Pelodiscus sinensis: one gene and its partner. Each later gene encodes a partner of the first gene's protein in a complex. Links are inferred from orthologs where the notes say so. Each region holds a gene or a part of one and is shown in the gene's direction. Other genes may lie near its edges. The genes, in order: BMP10 and ACVRL1.

Evidence for each region.
Region 2: the proteins of BMP10 (region 1) and ACVRL1 are in contact, whole or in part, in a crystal structure (PDB 6SF1), measured with the Homo sapiens proteins. The link is inferred for Pelodiscus sinensis from reciprocal best matches to the Homo sapiens genes BMP10 and ACVRL1. Residues at the interface, in NP_055297.1 of Homo sapiens: Tyr322, Asn357, Tyr358, Pro359, Ala361, Glu362, His363, Pro366, Thr367, Lys368, Ile371, Leu375, Leu378, Lys379, Ser381, Lys386; in NP_000011.2 of Homo sapiens: His40, Val54, Val56, Arg57, Glu58, Glu59, His66, Gly70, Asn71, Leu72, His73, Glu75, Leu76, Phe84, Val85, His87.

Annotation. Positions count from the first base shown.
Region 1 is NC_134738.1:905,919-917,000, reverse strand, and holds the start of BMP10 (bone morphogenetic protein 10), read left to right. Parts: upstream 1-6,549; 5' UTR 6,550-6,829; coding exon 6,830-7,163; intron 7,164-11,082. UniProt on the Homo sapiens protein: Required for maintaining the proliferative activity of embryonic cardiomyocytes by preventing premature activation of the negative cell cycle regulator CDKN1C/p57KIP and maintaining the required expression levels of cardiogenic factors such as MEF2C and NKX2-5.
Region 2 is NC_134729.1:5,530,425-5,541,861, reverse strand, and holds the start of ACVRL1 (activin receptor type-1-like), read left to right. Parts: upstream 1-6,681; 5' UTR 6,682-7,319; intron 7,320-11,437. UniProt on the Homo sapiens protein: Type I receptor for TGF-beta family ligands BMP9/GDF2 and BMP10 and important regulator of normal blood vessel development. On ligand binding, forms a receptor complex consisting of two type II and two type I transmembrane serine/threonine kinases.

The DNA of each region.
Region 1 (11,082 bases):
TTCAGAGCCACTTCCATGAGGGAATGATCCTCTGAAAAAGCAGAGCTGCTCCTGGGAGCCAGGCACCTTCCATTCCCACTGATGTCAACAGCAGTTAAGGGTGCTCAGTATTTCCTTTCTGTGGTCTATGGATTCTCATAGGCACATTGGAACTGTGATGTCAGATTGGACTGGGGCTCATCCCACCTCCGGCAAAGGTCAATATTCCCAAGGGAAGGTCAGAATTATCATTTAAATACTGTTCAATGAGCCGGGCAACATATGCTGAGGAGACATTGTTCCCTGTTCCCGTTGTGATCTTAAGCCTAGAAAGACGCTTGAGCTGTCATTAGCTCTACTTTACTACGCATCGCTATAATTCTGTGCTTTTTGGCTTGTCACATAACACATCTCTGGCAAGCACTCTGGAAGGGAATTTACAGTATCATTAATAATAAAAAATTTCGTTTGCACTATACATTACATGGCATTTTTACAGCCACTCAGGATAGATTCAAATGCCACCCAGCCAATTAGCAGAGCCCCCACAGATAGGTTTTTGTGCCTGCTGGTGATGCACATCCACACATGCCTCAGTGCACATAAAATGTATTACACACAGAGATGGACAAAATCCATACATGGACGGAAAAGATTAGAAGGAACATTGTAAGCAACCCCATGGCTCTGATGCAAGTCCCCTTGAGGCCAATGGGTTTCTTTCTGTGGATTTCAGTGGGAGTGGGGTAAGGCCCTATGTTCACAGCTGATTTGCTTTAATCCCGAAATAACTACCTGTTAAATAAACATGGCCGAAGAGCGGTGCTTTTTTGAGCGCTCTTGAGTGCTAATTGAAATGATCTTTCTGTTTTTATGCTACTCCCTCACCTGAATCTGCCTAAGGGGCCTTACTGTGTTTTGGGCAGGTTATCAGGTTAGCTACCAATAATAAAAAAGGTACCACCAGCCACTGGGCCAGGCTGCTACCAGTCCATCCCAGGTTTGTCTGCATCTAAGACTGGCATGCCCAGTAAAGAGTTCTTTCCTGCAAAACTGCCTACCTGCCACATCACTTATTGTTCCAACAAGCACACTGTTTATGCAATAAAGTTAATAAAATTCTTCACACAACACATCGTCAACCCATGGAACTCCTTGCCAGAGGTTGTGAAGTCCAAGGCTATAACAGGGTTAAAAAAAAAGCTAGATAAATTAATGAAGGACAGATCCATCAATGGCCATTAGCCGGAATGGACAGGAATGGTGTCTCTAGCCTCTGTTTGCCAGAAGCAGAGAATGGGTGACAGTGGGTGGATCACTTTTTCTGTTTATTCTAGGGATGGGGAACTTAAGGCCTGGGGGCTGAATGAGGCCCCCGGTTTGTCTGGATCTGGCTGCTGCAACTCAGGGCTCCCCCCCCCCAGCATTGGGGAGACCTCGCTGTGGCTCCAGTCCTCTGCTGTCTCCCTGCAGGGCTGGAGCACACAAAGTCTACTGGGCTGCTCCCCCTAGGCTCTGGTATGTGCGGGGAACGTAGGGAGCGTCTTTCTCCTCAGCCGGGGGCCACATCACTGAGGTTTGGTTGGGTTTGGTTTTTTGTTTTTCTTTTAAACTGGACAGGTTACTGGGCTTGATGGACCTTTGGTCTGGCCCTATATGGCTGTTCTTCTGTTCTAATAACAATAGGAAGGATCAGGAATATTGCCTCTCCAGCTAGCATAGGTTTCTGCGTTTTGTTCAAAGGAAAAAAACCATGTCATTCTTGTAAATGAATTTTAGAGGAAAAATTAACTAACATTTCTAGGTCTACAATTCAGCCTTTTAATTCGGCAAGAAGGCTGCATGGTTTAAATTCTTCATCCTCCAAAGCAAAGGAAACAGGAAACTGCTTTTACACCAGATGTCATCTAGTGGTACTGTACATCTGGCAACCCACCAACAGCTGTACAGAGGCTAAGCCATGTGAGCTAAGACATTCAGCAGTAGGCTGTGTTGCTTACATGAGGTGTTCAACAAGTTCTCAAACAAGAAAGGAAACACGAAGAAATTTACAATGGTTGAGCTGTAATTCTGCTTGTAACAAGGTACTGGCACATTTGTAGCTTTCAGAGACATGTGTCAGATTCCCACATGTGCTCCAGCCTTTACTTAGGCAACGGTGTCTGCTGGCTGCAGAATGTGCCAGTCATTGTAAAGCTTTGTGATTTTATAGCCAAACTAGCAGACTTACCCAGTGTCGCCCAGGCCCTTGAAGGTAGGGCTTTGGTGATGTGGAGGGGAGGGTGTGCAGGATGCAGTAGACAGAGGGGGGCAATAGTGAGGGTTGTTCCTTCCCCCCAGTCTGCCCTAGCCTACCAGGGGCTGTTCTCTCCCTGCCAAGGCTCTCCCATCTGCCTCCAGGGGGCCTGTTCTCCAACTTCACATGCAAGAATGATAGAAACGTGTCCCTGGTCTCTGTCTGTCAGAGGCTGGAGAGGGATGGCAGGAGACAAATCGCTTGATCATTGTCTTCGGTCCACCCTCTCTGGGGCACCTGGTGCTGGCCACTGTCGGCAGACAGGCTACTGGGCTAGATGGACCTTTGGTCTGACCCAGTACAGCCATTCTCATGTTCTTATGATAAATGCACAAAAATAGTATATAAACATTCAGCAGACTGTCTATTAAAACTGATAGATTATATGAGGCATATATATATGTCTAAAGCATCTTCATAATATGCATATTCATATTCATAAGCCAATATTCATTAAGTTTGGGAGGGGCACGACAGCACTAATTTGTAACTTTCTTAATCTCCGTTTCATTATGGATGTAAGGTCACCTCCCCAGTGCTGCATGGCCAAGAGATGAATCATTCAAAAAAGGAAGGTTGCGAGTCCACTTTTTTGAATAAATAGCAATCAGTGGGATTCAGATCCAAAATCTCACAAAGTTTTTGGCTGTTCAGCGTCACAAAACCACAAGCTCATAGACTCATAGATAGCCATGCAATTCAGATCCTGCTCTGAATGCTCCTTCAAGGTTCAGGATCAGCTGCTTCTGAGTGGACCTATGTGTAACAATAAAAATGAGGAAAAACTTAAAAAACAACAAATAGTCTGGTAGCACTTTAAAGACTAACAAAATATGTAGATGGTATCATGAGCTTTTGTGGTCATGTCCCATTCCTTCAGATGACCAGAGCATTGGATGTCAATTAGGGTATGTCTAGACTACATGGCTCCGTTGACGGAGCCATGTAGATTTGTTTTTTTGGCAAAGGCAAATGAAGCCGCGATTTAAATAATCGTGGCTTCATTTAAATTTACATGGCTGCCACGCTGAGACGACAAACAGCTGATCAGCTGTTTGTCCGCTCAGCGCGCTAGTCTGGACGCTCCCCTGCCGACATCAAAGCCCTTTGTCGGCAGCCCCGGTAAACCTCATCCCACGAGGAATAACGGGGCTGCCGACAAAGGGCTTTGATGTCGGCAGGGCAGCGTCCAGACTAGCGCACTGAGCGGACAAACAGCTGATTAGCTGTTTGTCGGCTCAGCGCGGCAGCCATGTAAATTTAAATGAAGCCGCGATCATTTAAATCAAGGCTTCATTTGCCTTTGCCTACAACCCTAATCTACATGGCTCCATCGATGGAGCCATGTAGTCTAGACACAGCCTTAGGTTGGTCATTTAGGCCTGGTCTACATTAAAGGAGAAAGTCAACTTCAGATATGCAACTCCAGCTATGTTAATTATGTAGCAGGAATCAAAATATCTTAAATTGCATTTTGGCACCATTCACACGCAGGAGGTCAACAGCAGCACATGCTCCCTTCGACTTCCCTTACTCCTCGTAGGAGCAGGACTACCGGCACCGATGGGAGTGCCCTCTCAGTTCGAATTAGCAGATCTTCACTACACTCGCTAATTCAAACCCCGGAAGATCGACTGAGGCAGCCACAGTCTTCTCTGTAGTGTAGACAAGCCCTTACTGTGTTAAACTGCCGTGGTAAAAAGGCAAGCTGTTTGAGAGGAGAGTTTCTGAATGAAGCAAAATAGCAAAGGGACACACAAATATATGGCTCGGTGCTCTTAATGAACAGTGCTCTCTGTGAATATAATCTGAATAAATACAATTATCCTTGTTCAAAATTGCATCGTGAAGTGAGCTAGAGTTGTTTCCCTTGTGCCAAGATGGCAGTTGACCTATTTGAGAAGAAACAGCATCTGGACAGTCACAATAAATAGATGTACCAAATGGACAGGATGTGCTCAGTCCTAACTGAGGAGTGGAATTGTCCAAGGCATGTCTACACAGAAGCATTATTTCTGAATAACTGATGTTATTTCGAAATAAGAAAATGAGTGTCTATACAGCAAGCCGTTATTTCGAAATAATGTCAAGCTGGAGGGCTTCTTACTACAACTCCTGTAACTCTCATTTCACGAGGAGTAAGGGAAGCGGAAGGAAGAGTGCTCTTCCTTCGACTTCCTGCTTTATAGACAGTGCGTAAAGCCGAATTAAGCTATTTTGGTTTCAGCTACACAATTGACATAGCTGAAGTTACGTATCTTAATTTGACTTTTGCCCTGCTGTGTAGACGTGCCCCAACAGAGCTTTGCTATTTCAGTCAAACCATGCGCTCTTTAGTTCTTGCAGATATACCTCACAATGAAGTCAGACACCTTCTGCTACTAACAAAGAGATTCTCCTTTGCATCAAAGGGTGGAAGGCTGGGTGTTTGGCTCAAAAGGCATGCGTTCTAATTTTCCTGTCACAGGGAAGTTCCCTGTGAACACTGGGCCAGAACAGAGACAGATATGGTCACAATTTTCAACTTACATGGTTGCTTTGGTTTTACTCATTTGTCTGCAGTCCTCAAACTTTTTGGAAATTTCAAAAATCTGACCATCCCCACACCCCAGCCCAGAATTTGTTTTTTCCGGAAACACACTGAACATTTTCCATGAAAACTGTGCTGTGGTTTTCAACCCGATCTGCTCATAACATCCTGCCCCTGAGCCACGGCGCGTTGATGTGGCCAGAAGTAATGCTGGTGTCTCTGCAGCAGACTAGAGGTCCCTTGAAGTTTAGTTTCATGCCAGTTACAGCAAAGCTCTCTGGCGGGGGATGGTATGACGGCAGCATATGGAACAGAGCTTGAGTGAATGTAACCTGCCATGCCAGACACATAAGAGGCGTGGGAGAAAGGCGGCATTTTAGGAGCCAGTTGCAATTGTTTCAGTGCTCCCTGCTGAGTTTGTTTCTACACATTTCTGTGGAGCCCGTCCCCAGAACAGCAGGTGTTCAATGGGAACCTGTGGTTTCTAGAGAGAATAACTAGCTAAAATATCTGATATTAGGAAATCTGATATTAGAAATGGCAATATACAAAATTATCACAAATCTGATATTAGGAATGGCAACATACAAAAACCTGTAGGGGAACACTTCAATCTTTCTGGACACACAATTGCAGATCTAAAAGTAGCCATCCTGCAGCAAAAAAACTTCAGGACCAGACTTCAAAGAGAAAAACTGCTGAGCTACAGTTCATCTTTAAGTTTGACACAATCAACTCTGGATTAAACAAAGACTGTGAATGGCTTGCTAACTACAAAAGCAGCTTCTGCTCTCTTGGAATTCACACCTCCAGATCAGCTGCTAGAAGTGGGCCTCATCCTCCTTGATTGGATCCACCTGGTCATCTCCAGCCTGATCCTGGCCTGCATATTTATTCCTGCCTCTGGAAATTTCCACTACATGCATCTGATGAAGTGGGTCTTTGCCCACGAAAGCTTATGCTCCTACACTTCAGTTAGTCTATAAGGTGCCACAGGACTCCTCGTCGCTTTTGCAGATTCAGACTAACACGGCTACCCCTCTGATACTTAGCTAAAATAAACACCACTAAAAACATTTGCTAATTGCCTTCTATTTGTACAGGACAAGCTGGTGGTGGCAGCCCAGGGGCAAAATGGAGAACCAGGAACAGCTCTGTTGGCCATGCCCAACCTCATCCCTGCCTGCGTTTCTCCTGTTCCCAAAGCCCCTTTCCACAAGGAAGCCCTGCATGACACACCAGCCCAGATGCAAGGAGCGCAAACTCTCTGCTTCCTACTGCTTGATAGAATCACACCAGTTTCACTGCATTTAGCACCTCCCGTGGTGTTTAGATTGTTTGTTATTTATATTATCAGGGTGCCTAGGAGCCACAGGCATGACTCCCATTGTGCAGGTGCGTACAAACAGAACAAAAGGATGGGCCCTGCCTCAAAGCGCTTTTCAGCCAAGTAAAGACTTTCCTTGGGCTGGAGAGTTTACTAACTCTTAATATTGAAGGAGGCTTTTGTTTACTGTTGGTACAGAATACAAAATCCTAGACGTAGGCTCTGTGTCATTTGCATGTTTGCCTGAAAGCATAACAAAGTTGCATGGATAAAACTTGGCCATACATGCCAAAGAAAGTCAGCTCCAAGGGAGAAAGAAAGGGCAGATCCTGTCCAAGGAGAAAATTGTCGTATCTCAATATGTCCAAGTGCAGAATGTTTACAAAATGCTCATTAAGGGAAAGGGGGTTTGTGAGATAGCAACAGAAAATCTGGTGGACAGCTTACACTGCAAGAGATAAGAGAGGCAAGGCTACCATAGGCGAGCGTGTGTTATATCCAATTACTGAGACCTGGTTTTGGAGGGTGTGTGGGGAGGCGGGAGAGAGAGTGAGGACTGATCACAAGTTTCAGGCAAGGGCTTCCAAACTTGTCAAGTCTGTGACACAAGCTGCGCACAAACCAGGGGATAAAATAGCCACTTAGCGCACACAAGAGCTAAACCTTGGTGAGTGCGGCTGGACGCTAACGCGAAGGAATGGATACTGTTGCCATTCAGTTGTGGGCAACCCTCTCTCTGCTGGTGCACCTTGCTGCTTGCAGCCCCATCATGAGCCTGGAGCAGTCGTCCCTGGAAGAAGATGTGCCCCTCTTTGATGAACTCCTTTCAGAGCAGGAAGGTGTCGATTTCAACACGCTGCTTCAGAACATGAAAAATGAGTTCCTGAAGACGCTGAACCTTTCTGACATTCCCCTGCATGAAAAGTCTAAGGTGGAGCCCCCAGAGTACATGTTAGAGCTGTACAACAGGTTTGCCACTGACAGGACCTCAATGCCATCGGCAAATATTGTTAGAAGCTTCAAAAATGAAGGTAAGATCCATGCTCCTCTGTGAACGAAGAATAACTGGGCATTGCTCAGAACCGACAAGGCACTTCTTCCCAATGTGTGGAGCAAGACGACTTAATTGGGGAGAAAAGGAGTTGACAGTGATTAGATAGAGATGCAACTGGAGCTAGGGAACTAGCATGGCCTGTGTCTATAATGAACAGCTCACATTGCTTGTCTGATGTAATCTCGCCCTCCTTATTTTATATCCTTGAGCCAGTGAGCGTTCTGGGGCAGGAGCAATGTCTTCCTTTGTGTTTGTGTATTGTGGGTGTATTTATTTATAAATAAATTGTCATAGTTCCAGGAAGCATATGCATCATTTATATGTTACCTTCATACGCATCCGATTTTTAAATGGAGATGGCAACTTATCTTCCTTATTTGATTAATGAGAAAAGGCCTCTTTCACCACCCATGCAATAGTACAAATTCTCATTTGGAAAGCCAAATTTCTTCATGGATTCCCAACCAAACAACAAATGGCTTTCTGGAAATATTTTCCCAATTTAGTTCCTCAATTATTGTGTAAAATAAGGTCAGTAGAATATATAGAAATGTGTGCGGCTAGCATCTCTCTATAACAACTTTTGCCTCACCATTTATTTTTGAGAGAATAAAATTTGTAGTGATTAGACAGGGATGCATGCCTTTTTTCAAAAAAGGTAACTAAAATTTTATAGAATTATGAGTTTAGACTGTTACGAATATTGCGCAATTCAACATTTTCCTGAAATTTCTACACAATTCGGGGAATAAAAAGCTCTCATGCTATTACTGATTCTTCATGCATGAGTACCAATATGGAATATGGGTTGAAAAGGCTTTTCAGAAAATCATTATGTCCCAAAGTAGCAGTCTCAATTTTACTGATGAAGTTCACAACTACAAGATAACAGAGCAAAGACTGAGCCTATGTAACCTAAATTTGACAACTCAGTTTTAGATTCTATAACTGCTTGTGGGCTAATCTATACCTTGCTCAGACGCATGCATTCTTATCAAGCTACATGTTTCTGGTTTTAAAAGGCTCCGCTTTACAGTTCAAATCCACTTTAACTTTGCATTTCTTCTACATATAGACAGCATTTAATTCATTGAGGGCTGCACTGAAAGTGACTTATGCATACTGAAGACCTCAGGGCAATTTGTGTGTAGAGAAGGGATTCACAATCTGGCCCTGAAGGAATATGGAATAATGATTCTGACACTTACAATTTTAAGATGAAAAGTAATAGGAAAACTAATGGACTGTAATTGGGAAAGCAGAGTATACTGAGTGGAGAATGCTATGTGTTTTACTAGTGTACATATGCAGTAATTCCATTAGTTACAATAGAATCATTCCAGATTTATATTGCTACTTAGAGGATTTGCCCACTGTTGCTCAAGTCCTTAACTGAAATAATTTTAAAAACAACAAGCAGTCCTATGGCACCTTAGAGACTAACAAATATAGAATATTATGAGCTTTTGTGGGTAAAACCCACGTCATCAGATGAACTAATTTTTCTTCATTTGATTCATTGCTCTCGGGAGGGGGGGGGGGTCAGTGTGCAGGCTGCCCTGGGGAGAGAGGATAACCCCAGCCCTCTGTCACCACAGCAGCTTGGGGCCAGGGAGAAGTGCCTGTTCATGGAAACTGCTGGGGGAGGGGTGCATATCTCCCAGCTGGGCAACACACAGACAGACAGACACACACACAAACTCTCTCAAATATATAATAGATACTATCCTTTTCTCCACCCCGTGCACTGCTGCCCCAATAGGATTATAACTGTCCCATTCCCCATCTCTGGCCCCTTGCTGTCCCCCTGTGGTCATTATACACTATAACTGTCCCTCTTAGCAGACCCCTCCCTTTCTGTTTTGTGGGAAACACTCACATTCCAGGCACATCCCATTGTCTTGGCACAACCAAACCCTGACCTTGCTTTAAGTTTTGATAAGAGGAAGCTGCCTACCAAATTTGGTGTTCCTAGCTCTTACTGTTTAGGAGGAGTTCTTGAACAAACAGACTCACAGATGGACAGAGAAACACAGACACACAAACTCTCTCAAATATATAGTAGATTGATGACATCAGAATCCATCCTTCATTTTTAGTAAATGGAACAATGCAAAGATCCATTAATTTTCATAAACACAACAGTTTCCAAGCAGCGTGTTCATCACCACAAAGTCTGCAATGGCAATGTCAAATGCAGAGTAACTTACTACCTTCTCAGAAGGTTCCTGTCCTTTCTTCTAGTCCACAACTTCAGAAATAAATTCAGATACTTGTATTCTAATGCAAATGCTCTCCATAGGCACATGTATACCACAGAGGGTCTATTTCAATTGTCTCTGCTTTGTATGTCTAAAAAGTCATTAACAATTAGGGAACCTGGATTATATGGCACATGAGTAAACTAAAGTGCTTGCATTTATTACTGATAAAAGAGATGGAACAGATCACACCGTGCAATGTTTATACTCATCAGCTTGTGGTAGTAGATGATGATAATGGAAATTGCATGGTTGAAAGCAGTAGAACTTGATGACAGTTGTTCATTAGCGGTTTTAGCTCATGGAGTTGTCTGGCTCTGTTGCAGCTTGGATTGTAATGTGGTCGTTGCTTAAAAACTGAAATAAAGCTTTCTGGGCTAATTTGTCCTCCTTCAGACACCAGTGTGTCCTCATTGACACCAATGAGGATGTACAGGAAATAGTGAAGAGTATTTGACCCTTTGAGTTTTCTTGCTCAGTCTGTCTTGTGGGCAGTTGCCAGTTCTGATTTATTTTTCTCCCTAATCAGGAAGCGAGACACCCAGTTTCCCACAAGAGTGTGTCTCTATCCCTTCCAATGATTGATTCATGTCCATTTTCTGTGACTTTTCCCCACCCCAAGACCATATGTATCATCATAACAGTGGACTTGTTCTCCAGCAGCCTGGGGGTGGAGGTGGGCGATAGGGCTGAGGGGCTGTAGATCACTGAGTTCTGGTGCCACTTCCAGTTGTGAAGTGGGACACATTCACTAGACAGACAGCCTATGGATTTACAAACATCAACAAATTCCAAAGACCGATTAAAGTCAATTATTCATGTGCTGATGTGCTTCGCTAGCTCAGGGCCAATATTTGTAGCTTCGTCAACCAAATGTTTCCATAAATGTATCAATCCCAGAGTCATAGAAATCTGAGATGGGAAAATGTACAGGATCCATGCAGTCCATCCCCTCAGCTCCTGTCAGCATGTCCGCTAAGTCTCTATTTCCCAACCTGGTTTCAGAGTCATTATTGAATGAAATGTAGCAATAAATACAAAGCATTTTGTTAAATTGCCCATATGTATGAAGAAATGCAGATGGGGCATGTATAAACATGATGGATAAATAGATAGATGATCATTTGTTTGTTATACATCTGATTCATTAATACTCTCAAAAGCTAAGTATGTACAGTAGTTTTCTTTTGCTCTTTTCAAGACAGATCCAAACACCACTGATGTCAATGGGAATATTTCCATGGCTTTATTGGGTCTTGGCCCAAGACCCGAGTTCCCATTCCTCCTAGTTACAAGCCTTTGCATCACCCTAAACAATTTGTCTCTTTCCTTGAGGGTCACACTCTTCAGTCACTGGTGGAAGTTTATGGTAGCATTTGTTGCCACTGGGAGATCTGTGCACTCTGCATCCAAGACAGCAGATCAGCACTAGGGATTTTAATGTGTTGTATCAACTCACCAGTGAAGATACAAATTCACCTGAGGAGTATGGGACTGTGCACTGGGGATGAACTGAGGGAAAAGGAGATCATACTATTTATGAGGGGAATCTATTGGATACTCTATAGAAAGTTAGGTCCCCTCTTAATAGATAAAAAGATAAACAGATCCGAATGCAGCCTTCCTTCACTGCAG
Region 2 (11,437 bases), on another chromosome or scaffold:
TTAAAACAAGCCAACAACCACAGCAAAGAGGACAAACCAATATCCTGCCCCAGCACCCCCTACTCCAGCTGGGCATGAGCAACAGCACCCCAGGAAGATCCCTAGCAGTCCCTCACCCGGGCTTTATCCAGGCAGGTCGGATTTCTGGCGTGGCCAGTGGGATAAATTCCTGCCCCTCCCCAGTCTGGATTTAGCCGGCTTAATCCCACTGAGCTATGGCCTGAGGCTAGATCACAAATGCTGGAGCTGCCTTGGCAGAGCCTCTAAGGATCTGACACAGACAAGCTGGAAGGAACCAGGGGTTTCCCTGCAGGCACCCCTGCTCCAATGCCCCCTAGAGGCAAGTCTGGTCCTATTTGCAGATCAGGAGACACAGGAGCTGAGGCCAGTCACCTGCTGTAACCCTTAGACCCCACCAGCGGCTTCCCAGCAGGACCAGGAATAGAACCCAGGAACCCTGGCTGCCAGTTCCCTGCTGGAACCATTAAACTTACAGTCTCCTCCTGCAACCATTGATTTTGCAGTCAAGGACCAGGGCCTGCTCTCCGGCATTAGGTAACACGCTCAATTGGCATCCAGTTGGAGCTGCCCCAATCCCATCCCCCAGCAGCAGATAAAATACAGCCTCTCGACAGCTCTCCACGCACCCTGCCAGTCCTGCAGCAGGAGCTCTGGGAGCCTGGGGAGGAGCTATCGCTGGGCGGGCAGCGCTTTCGGCATGCGGCGGTAACAGACTGTCTGTCATCTAGAGATGCCTAAGCAAGCCGGGCCACTGCCTTGTAAAAGGGTCAAAGAAACATGGACCGGAGGGACCCTGGGGTCTCAGACCTGGAGAGGGGAGAGCAGGCGAGCAGCAGGCCCTGAGCAAACCACAGCTCCGTGCCCAGCGCCCGGCAGAGGTTCCTGCAGCTGGATCTTGAATCCCTCAAAGCAGGACTGGTTATTGTTCTAGGTGGCCCAGAGATGGCCAGGCAGAACCCAGGGAGCAGCTTCCCATTGACACGGGGGTGTATCTAGCAAGGCTGTTCCACCCGCTACCAGCCACGGTCGGGGGAGGGTTAAAAGGCCCCGTGCTCAGAGCCCTCTGAGTCTGGATGTAGAATAACCTTTGATTTGGGGGGTTAGGTCTCGTTTTGCTGGGTGCCAGGCAGGCTGCCTCTGCCCTCAGGCCTTGAGACTCTAAATCCTTAGGCTCCCTCTGTCTCCCTGCCAGGCTAAAATAGCCCTTTGGGGATTTGGATGCTTGTTTTGTGTCTTGCTGCTATTGGATGCGACACAGCTGCTGTGTTCCTCCCCAGAGGTGGCTGCCTAGGAGTGGTGAGAACAGGGGTGTCAAGAGGCTCCGACTGACCTTTGGTGGGGCGTTTTGGAGGGACAGGCCTACAGCCATAGGGAGAGCAGCTCACACTGCTCCCCTTCCTCCCTTGGCTCATTCTCAGATTCCTCCCTGTGTGGTTTCCTTCCTTTGCCAGCTTGCTGGTTCCGCACACATATGGGCTGGGGGCGGGCGGCACATGGAGCAGGCGGATAGCTGCTCCGCACGTGCAGCTCGCCTGGTTCTGACAGCGGGCAGGGGAAGGGAGCACCAGCAAGAACAGGAGCATCAGGGGGACACTTGGATTCTGGCTGCACTGAAGAAAGGGGATTTATCGGGCTGACTAGCACGTGCGACTCTGGCCTCCGTCCTGTATGCATGCAAAGCAGGGTGCCTTTATGTCCTCTATTCTTCTCAAGACCAGAGGTGAACGGAAGCCGGTGAGCCCTGGTGTAGCATGCCGGCAAGAAGCAGCCGGCTGGGGCTCTGCAGGCTGCCTTGTTAAGCGGCAGGTAGCCAGGCAGGAGAAAGGGTTTGGGGTGTGTGCGTGCCCTGCCCCCATCCAGGGCTGCCCCGGCCCTGCCCCCCCGGCACCTTTTCAGGGGGGTAGGAGGGCTGCAGCCACACGTACAGGGTCTTCTTCCTCTTCCCCTATCAGGAAGCGAGGGGAAAATGCTCAGCGTGTGCCTTCCTCTCGCTCCCAGCTGCCGGGGAGGGCCGGGGCAGAAGAGGATGCAGCAGGCTGTGAGGTTTCCCCTCACTCCCCGAGAGTCAGAGGAAGAGGAAGAGGAAGAAGAGCAGCAGCGACCTACTATGGGCAGCTGCCACCTCCCCTCGCCTCCCGCCCGTCCTCCCAAAAGGGCACCCCCGCCTGCACTCACCCCTACAGCTACGGTCACCAGGGTGTCCGGTTTTGAGCTTTCTGTCCAGGAAACAAATAGAGAAAATACCAAACGTATAAATGTCCGGTATTTTCTAGTGAAATAAGTTTTATTATTCTCATGAGTATCACTATGTAGTTGTGTACTGCCTGGCTGGTAGCCGCGCTCACACTGCATGAACATGTCTACCAGCCAGGCAGTGCACAGCTATGCAGTAGAGAGGGGGCGGGGGTGGGGGCGGGGGCGGGGGCGGGGTGGGCTGGAATCCCCTGGGCCAGACTCACCCGTGCACTCCGCCAGGACCGTGCGTGGGACGGGCAGTGCCCTGGGATCTGCGTGTGCCCGGGCCAGCCCTGCTTCCCGCCGGACGGTTCCCCACCCCACTTCCCCCCACCCAGCTAGTTCTGCTCCCCCCGACCTCCTCCCTGCCAGCCCTGCTCCCCACCGGTCGGTTCCCCCCAATCTCCCCCAGCCAGCCCCGCTCCCCCCGACCTCCTCCCTGCCAGCCCTGCTCCCCACCGGTTGGTTCCCCCTGATCTACCCCAGCAAGCCCCACTCCCCCCGACCTCCTCACGTCCAGCCCTGCTCCCCACCGGTCGGTTCCCCCCGATCTCCCCCGGCCAGCCCCGCTCCCCCCGACCTCCTCACGTCCAGCCCTGCTCCCTACCGGCCAGTTCCCCTCGATATCCCCCAACCAGCCCTTCTCCCCCTGACCTCCTCACATCCAGCCCTGCTCCCCCCGACCTCCTCCCTGCCAGCTCTGCTTCCCGCCGGATGGTTCCCTCCGATCTCCCCTGGCCAGCCCCGCTCCCCCCGACCTCCTCCCTGCCAGCTCTGCTTCCCACTGGATGGTTCCCCCCACTCCCCCCGACCTTCTCACAACCAGCCCTGCTCCCCCCGACCTCCTCACAACCAACCCTGCTCCCCCCGACCTCCTCACATCCAGCTCTGCTCCCCACCAGTCGGTTCCCCCCAACCTCCTCCCTGCCAGCCCTGCTCCCCACCGGCCGGTTCCCCTCGATCTCCCGCGCCAGCCCTGCTCCTCCCCCCCCCCCATCTGAGATCAGGTGTATCTGGTATTTTTGTCAAAATCATCTAGAAACGCTACTTACAGCCCCCAGCCCTGCCCCCCCTCCCACCCCTGCGGCCTGACTCCTGAACACCCCACAGCTCCCTGTCCAGGGCCCCCTATGCACTCTATGCAAGTGTCCTCTGTTCTGGAGGTACCTCGATGGCCACCCTAGTGTGTGTGCATCTCTGCTGTCCACGGCTCCAATGTGTATCCTAGGCCCTGGGCTTCTCCCAGCAGCGGGGGAGTCTCCAAAGAGAGGCTGGGTTTGGAGGCAGAGTGTAGCAGAAATTTGGCCCTGAGGCCCTGCCCTGATGCAATTTCCAACCATTCTCAGGTGGCAGGGCTCAGGGTGCTCCATTTACCAGCTGAGAGATGGCAGTGGAGCAGAGCAGGCTGCTGGGTCACTCTGCTTTATGCCGCAGTGAAAGGGGGAGCCCCCGACCCCTGCTGCCCCCTGCACCAGCCCCCCAGTAATTTCTTGTGTCGTATCTCTCGGGGGAGAGGGTGCAATGTGGGTGGGAGGGCAGGGGTGGAACAGGGTCAGGAAGAGGCGTGGCCTGACTCCTGAACACCCCACATCTCCCTGTCCCCCTCTGCCCCCGCCCCCCTCGTGCTGGCCCCATCCGGATGGTCTATCTGGCTGTGGGCATGTTGGCCTGATGCCTTTGAAGAGGCTTTCTCTATTTATATACATTCCTCCAGCAAACAATGAGTTAACGAGCCCTGAACTCGACCTTTTTAAAAAAGAATCCAGTGGTGCTATATAAGAGCCAAACTCCTCTCTCCCAGAGGGCCGCATGGAGGAGGGGGAGCGGCTCCAGCCATTGGCTGGTTAGAACCAGAGTCAAGAATTGCTTCCTTACGCCGCCCAGACTGTGCTGTCCTTTCTCATGGTCTGAACCTTCCCCCCACCCCCCCCCCAGCCCCCCATTCCCTTTGGGCCTTCTAGCCCGAGACCCCCAGGCCGGCCGGCGCTGAGCTTCCCGTTAGCTGGCGGGCCGTCCCCGTGACTCCGTCGGATTTCCCGGGCGCTCCACGTTGAGCGAGGTAGGACACGATGCGCCTGCCGCCCTGGGACACGGGCGGGCGAGGAACAGCCCTGGGAGGCACTGCTCTCATCAGGCTGCTGGGATTTCAGAGCAGGAGCAAAGCTAGTGCATGAGATTGGAGAACCAGAGGCGGCCCAGGCAGCTTTCTGCAGGCCCAGCCTTCCTCTCCCCCTCAGCACAGCAGCGGCCCCGTTTATTGCACAAATTCCAGGGACTCTGGGGCCACAAATCCGGCCCCCCCCAACCTGCAAGGAACTGAAAGCGCCACATGGTTACCCACAGGCAAGAGTCTTTCACAGACAAAGAGTCAAATGTGGCCATTTGCCTGTGACCGAAACAGCAGGTTCTGAAAACCAGAATGAAACGGGATCTGGAAAAACGAGCGGGCAGGGCCAAACAGGCAACTGATGCATCAAAGTTTTAGTTACAGGGGGATAAGGGCAGTAGATGGGAGTCGGGACCCTCGGGTTCTGTTCCTCGCTCTGGGAGCAATGGCGGCCTAGTGGCTACAGCAAGCAGGATGCCTGGGTTCTGGTCCCAGCACCGCGTGACTGTAAGTAAGCATCTTTCCCTCCGCTATCAAGGTGTGGGCCCAGGATATCGCTGTAGAGATCACATCTCTGCAGCTCAGTTTTGTGTCTACACTGGGACCTAGCACAGCTCTCTCCACTGTGTTATACCAGGCTGTTCCACGGTCACACGGGAGGGAGAGCCAGTGACTTCATTACAAAACAGGAGGCGATGCCGGTCCAGCCGTGGCCCCCCGCCCCCTGCTCCTACCCCAATGGATGAGCTACGAGGCCAGGATGGAGCAGTCGGGGAGAGGCCCGAGGTGGGAGGAGAGATCCCTGAATGGGAGAGAGGAAGAGTGAGAAGCAGCTGACTGAGAATGACCCAGAAAAATGAATTTAAAAAGGCTAAAGGGGAAGTGGTGTTTCCGGTCCCCCTCGAGCCCCTGCCAGCTGTGCCAGCCACCCACACAAGCCTGGTGCTACAGAGCAACTTCACAGACATTTGTGGTTAGGCCGGAAGTAGCTCTCCCCCCTCCCCCCGTGGGAATCTGAACACCAGGGTTAACATGTGACTCTTGCAAAAGGGGCCCTGGAGTCTTTGGGACTAGGCTTCAGCATCCCCTGTGAACGACAGCACGCCCAGCCCTAATGGCGTCTGGGGGCAGCATTCTCATACGGGCAGAGCACCTGCACTTCTGCAGCGCAACGCCCCCTAGCCCTGCCCTGGGGCACTGGGAGAGCACCCCTGCACTTTTGTGCAGCACAGCGCCCCCTAGGGATCATTGGGGTCCGCATTGACCGTGAGGGCAGAGCGCCTCCTGCTGAGTCACTTGCAGCACAGCGCCCCCTAGGGATCATTGGGGTCCGCATTGACCGTGAGGGCAGAGCGCCTCCTGCTGAGTCACTTGCAGCACAGCGCCCCCTAGGGATCATTGGGGTCCGCATTGACCGTGAGGGCAGAGCGCCTCCTGCTGAGTCACTTGCAGCACAGCGCCCCCTAGGGATCATTGGGGTCCGCATTGACCGTGAGGGCAGAGCGCCTCCTGCTGAGTCACTTGCAGCACAGCGCCCCCTAGGGATCATTGGGGTCCGCATTGACCGTGAGGGCAGAGCGCCCTCTGCTGAGTCACTTGCAGCACAGCGCCCCCTAGCCCTGCCCTACGGCACTGGGCTCAGCACAGAGGCTATGTCTAGACTGCAAGCCTCTTTCGAAAAAGAGCATCTAGACTACTAGTACTTTTGAAAAAGCAAGCTGCTTTCTCGAAGGAGGGCACCGAGGCAGTCTGGATGCTCTCTTTCGAAAGAGCACAGTTTGCATGACATAGCGCCTTTTTTCGAAAAAAGGCATTATTCTTCGTAAAACGAGGCTTTTCACAGCCGAAAAAACTGCCGCGTTCTTTCCATTTACGCGGCGGCAGTCTAGACGCAGGGGAAGGTTTTTCGAAAAAAGGCCACTTTTTTCAAAAAAACCCTGCAGTCTAGAGTGACAGGAGCAGAGCTTCTCACCAATACGTTGCTACTAACACGTTCCCCAGTTGCCTCCCAGCCCCACTCACAAGTCACCCCTACACTGGCCCCACCTGAGCTACCAGAATCGCTCCCAGAATGCCCTCGCCTGCTCCCACTCCGGCCAAGTAAACTAAGTCAGCTCGATTGCTGCCAAACCCTAGGCTCCTGGCTGCTCCCTGAGGAGGCTGGGTTCAGACACAGGTCCCAGAGCTGGTTTTGACGGGAGACTGAGGCAGGGCCGGGAACACGGCCTAGCCACACACCCTGGCGGGGGGGGGGGGGGGGAGTTGTTTGGCCGGGGCCTGGGAGGGAGGGAGAACAATCGTGATGGAGCAGGGGCCGGTGTGTGCAGGAGGAAGGGAGCTAGGCTGTGGCTGTAGGCTCAGCAATAGGAAATGCTTTATTAGCTGGGAGTGGTGGAGAAAAGCCAGGCAGGAAGAGGCAGTAATAAGAAACATTTTTTGACTTCTCCCACATCCAGAACTCAGAGATCTTGCCAATCCGCCGCGTTTGGGCCACAGGGAGAGAGAGGCCAGCCCCTGGGACTGGGGAGGGAAGCTAGAGGCACACTCCCCTCTCGCCAACTAGGGCAGGCGACAGCCGCTGGAGTAACCACCAGAGCCAAAGCTCTGCCGGGCCAGCGTCCCTTTGCAAATCTGGCAAGGTTGCTGCGTGGAGAGGGGAGGACGGAGGCTGACCCGTGAATCTGCTTCAGGCGGAAGCTCGCAGCGCCTGGGGGGAGCTGGAACCGTGTCCGTCGAAGCCTGGGATCCAGACTCTGTAACCGAAGGAGAATTGCCTCTGGCCCCGGGAACCGGTCAGCACCGCCCCACTGGCAGCAGACAGACAGCCGGATAGAAGACGCCCGGATCTGGGTCAGGCAGGGTTCCGTTGCGTCTCCAGAGGCGCTGCAGAGCCTGCCCGCCCACACGCAGCCTCTCCTCTGGGCCGGTGCTGTCAATGAGAGGGAAGGAGCCGTAGGTGAGTTGGAATGAACTGCTCTCTGGGGGTGTCGGGCTATTCTCAGGTTGCTACCAAAAGCGGAACGCGTGCAACTAAATGGGCCGCTCCTCAGCTCTCGGGAGAGCGCTGCTCGCTCACAGCAGCTGCCCCATATTGTAGCCCCGGCCTCACCCCCTTTGTTTTGTCCCCAGTTGGCTTCCTGCATCAGACTGTTCTTTGGGTCCCCCTTTCTCCACGATGGAGGAGAGACTCTCCGCTTTAGACTCAGATCCACTTTCAGGCACTGCTTGCTTCTGAGATATGCTCTGTGGCTTGAAGATAAATCAGAGTAACCACATTGAAGCCTGCAGGACTTGCACTGCTGCGCTTAGAATCAGGCCTTGTCTCAGTTGCCATCAGTGGGATAGCTCTGGATTGACACCATGGTAACTGAAGTCAGAAACGGGCCCTGAGTCCCTTTTCAGAAGATGACACACTATGTAAACGACCATGATAGGCTGTGCAATGGATCTAGCGCGGGACAAGTCGTGCAATAAAATCTTGCTGCCAGACGGTAGGATTGGAGAGTAGCAAATGTTTTGCAGCTATTTCCAAAAGGCGTTAGGAGAAATGTAGCAAAGTGCAGACTCAATTCTGGTAAATTAGTTGAGATGATGGAATTACAAAGAACTGGGAAATGATTGATATGACAGAGTCGAAGCACCCCGGCTTCTGAAAAGGAAAACTCTGTTCACCAAGCTATTCAAATTCCTGACCGTTTTCTATAAAAGAGCAGACAAAGGAGAACCAATTGACACGATTCATTTAGACTTTCCAAACGGCCTTTTACAAAGTTCCTCATAAGAGGTTACTGAGGCAGCTCAGTAGCCCAGATATCAGAGGCAAAGGGCTATCTTGGGTCAGAAATTGGGTAAGAGATGGAAAAACAAAGATTACAAAGAGATGGTCACCAAAGCAAGTTACCAGCAGGGGCTATTTTGGAGCTGATGTTATTTAATTATATTAATTACTGATCTGGGAACGAAGGAAACCAGGCAGAGTGCACAATTTGCAGAGAACACAAAATGATTTAGGTTAGGCAAGACCGTGTGGAGCTCCAGAGGGACCTAATCAAGTTGAGGGAACGGGCAACATGGTAGCAAATGAAATTCAGCCTAGGATAGAACGCCTCCCCTGCACAGAATTCCTAAACTGCTCAGGAAAGAAAGTCAGGTAGCTCGGCCTTAGCGTAATGTCCCGCCATGTGGAGAAAGCAAATGGAACACTGGGGTGTGCAAGGAAGGGGCTGTTGCTGTCCTGTAGCTGGATAGGATATTCGGGGCTGGAAGGGGGCACGCATCCCAGGAGGGGGTCAGAGAGCTTTGCAGCGTTTGTTGTTTCTAAAAAGCTTCCAGGCTCGAAAAAAATCCCTTTCCCGTTCTCGGCACAAACCAAAAATCAGCCTGGTCCTCCTGTTTCTCTCCCACAGAGAATTTAAGAGAAAATAAACATGTGGGTGGGGAGGGGGCGTCTGGGCTAATTTTCTTTTTTTTTTTTTAAATAACAAAACCTGTTTCTCTGATTTCTAGTGTAGCAACTGCCTGGAGCACAGGGTAGCACAGAGCCCGTGCTGTGCAACACGGCTGCTCAAGGCATCTGCTGGCTCTGGGCACGTTGCACCAGGCATGCCAATGTTTCTGGAACAAATGCCGGGGCAGCCTCTAGGGCTCCGTTCAGCTCCGAAATGGGCCTGAACTAGACCTCGGAGCCAGGTGAATCGGATCTCTGGCTCCAACTCTGCATTGTCTGCAGCCCTAGGGATACAGCATGTGCCTTGGAGCACACCAGTGACCAGCTCCCGAAAGCGTCAGTGGTAGATGTCACTGCCCAGTGCCCCCGGCCAGCGCTGTACTGATGGGCCGGAGGGAGGAGGGGAATCTCTGCAGGTCTCCGATTTAGGTTCGAAGCCCATTGAACTAAACAGAAAAACTCCCACTGAGTTCAGTGGGCTTTTGATCTAGCAACCCATGATCTAGCAACAAATCTAGCCTGGTTTGTCGAGGGCTGAGCACTCCCCCGGCTGCCTCTGACCTCAGGGGGAACCTCGGCACCTCCAACACCAGCCGAAAGCAGCTGTGTCCAGGAAACTGCTTACATCTGCTGCCTCCTGGCACAGGGCTGACACGGGTTGCGGGCCATGCGCTCATGTGCGCTGGGAGCTACTGATTCTCAGGGAAGAAAAATAAGGAACCAGGTCATGCGATAAACAAAAGAGGCTTTTCTGCTCAGGGTTTGCTGGGCGCTAACCCTAGATCTCGCCCTGGTGCGCCTGGGACTGCACAAACCGTGCATCTCATTTGACTGGGGGGGACGGGGATTGCTTTGTTGAGGAGTCTTGTTCCTGCTTTGGTTTCGCATCAGTTCATTAAACTGTTCTCCAGTGTGGCCCACATGGTGCAAAGGGAGCTAGTAGCTCAGGTGAGGAAGGGTGTTGGAAGAGGAGAAAGAGTTAGGTCTCAATCGCCAAACCCTCTGGGGTCCAATTCTCAGAGGTGCTGAGCACCCAAAGCTCCCAGACTTCAGTTGGAGTTAGGGGGCTCTGTGTAATGTAGTATGGTCCTGACCTGGGGGAGGCAGGACTTGAACCCACAACCCTATCCTTCCCAGGTGAGTGCCATAAGGTAGTGGGGCAGACTCCTGTGTGGCCTAGGGTGCTCTCCTGAGGAGGACAGGGGTGTGGGTTCAAGTCAGGCCTGGATGGGATGAAACAGCAGAAAGCTGGCGGCCCTGGGGCAGGTAGGATCAGGGGTGTCCCTGCGGTAAGCTGGGTGCTATGCTTGGGCTGTGGATGACCCTTACTGGCCTCTGTCTGTAAGCACTGCCCAGCGTGGGTTTGCCTTGAGGGCCCTGATGTGTAGACCATGGCCCAACCAGCTCTTACTGAAGAGGGAAGGAGTTTGAACAAAGGAAGGGTGTGGTTTTGGGGAAGAGCTAATTTGACTGGGAAAACATGGAGAGAAGAGACTAAGCAGAGGGCTGGGAGTGGAGGGGCCTATGTCCCCTTGCCCCAAGGGGTCTAGGACTGCCAGCCCCCAACTCCTTATGTCCATGTCACGTCTATTCTGTGCTGTATCCTGGAGAAGCAATAAACCCTCTCTATTCTACTGGCTGGTGGAGTCTCATCATGCTGTAGATGGGGTGCAGGATTAGGGGGGTCCCTGACACACTGCCACACTCAGCACCTCTGAAAATCAGGCCCAAGATCAGGATCCCAAAAACGGAGACTTCCAGACATCTGTCTTGCTCATCTACGCTGCGATCGAGGGCATGCCGCACAGCCGGGGTTAGCCAGGTCTGCAGACTCAGGCTTCAGGGTTGTCCAATGGCAGTGTAGTTCTCCAGGCCCATGCTGGAGCCCAACTCTGAGACCCAGCACAGGACGGTCATGTCCTCTGGGGACAATTCCTGGCCGCGCTGGGTGGTTACACAATGCAAGGCGCTGCCTTTCTGCCATTCGGAGACCTGCTTTGCACCGGGCGCGCGTGTCTCAAGCCCAGGGGCTGGTTAGAATCCAGGCCCGCTGGATGGGAACAGAACGTGCTGGAGGCTCTTGGCATCAGGAGTTTGGTGAGACACAGTCAAGTTCCTTCCAGACACAAGTCCAGAAACCACCATCATGGAAGGCAGATAGACCAAGGCCTGAATGAGCCACAAAGCCTGAGCTGTCACATGCTCAGATGGTCCTCCCATGGCACCATTAGGGCTTCTGATAGAACTGGAGAGGCAACTGTTTCCATTAAAGGAAAATTCTCCAAGGGGGCACTTGGATTTGGAACCAGGTTTTGGCAGGCAGGCAGGATGCCTACAGGCTGGTCCAGTACGGAGAGGACCTCGGGGGTTTCTATCTGACGCCTTTCCCCAGTACTAAGCACACCCCAGATTTATAAAACCAGCTCTGTGCTGCGCGAAGAGCGGAGCTGGCCTTACAGTGACAGTGAGATCCTGGGCCGGCCCATTGCTTGTGGGAGACGGGAGTGGGGCCAAGAGGGCCAAGGAGAGACAGCAAGTCATCTGCCTGCATTCAGAGCCCTGCTTCCTTGTGTGCTCTGAGCCACAGTGGCCGGTGGGGAATGGCAGCTCGGAGCACTCTTCCAGCT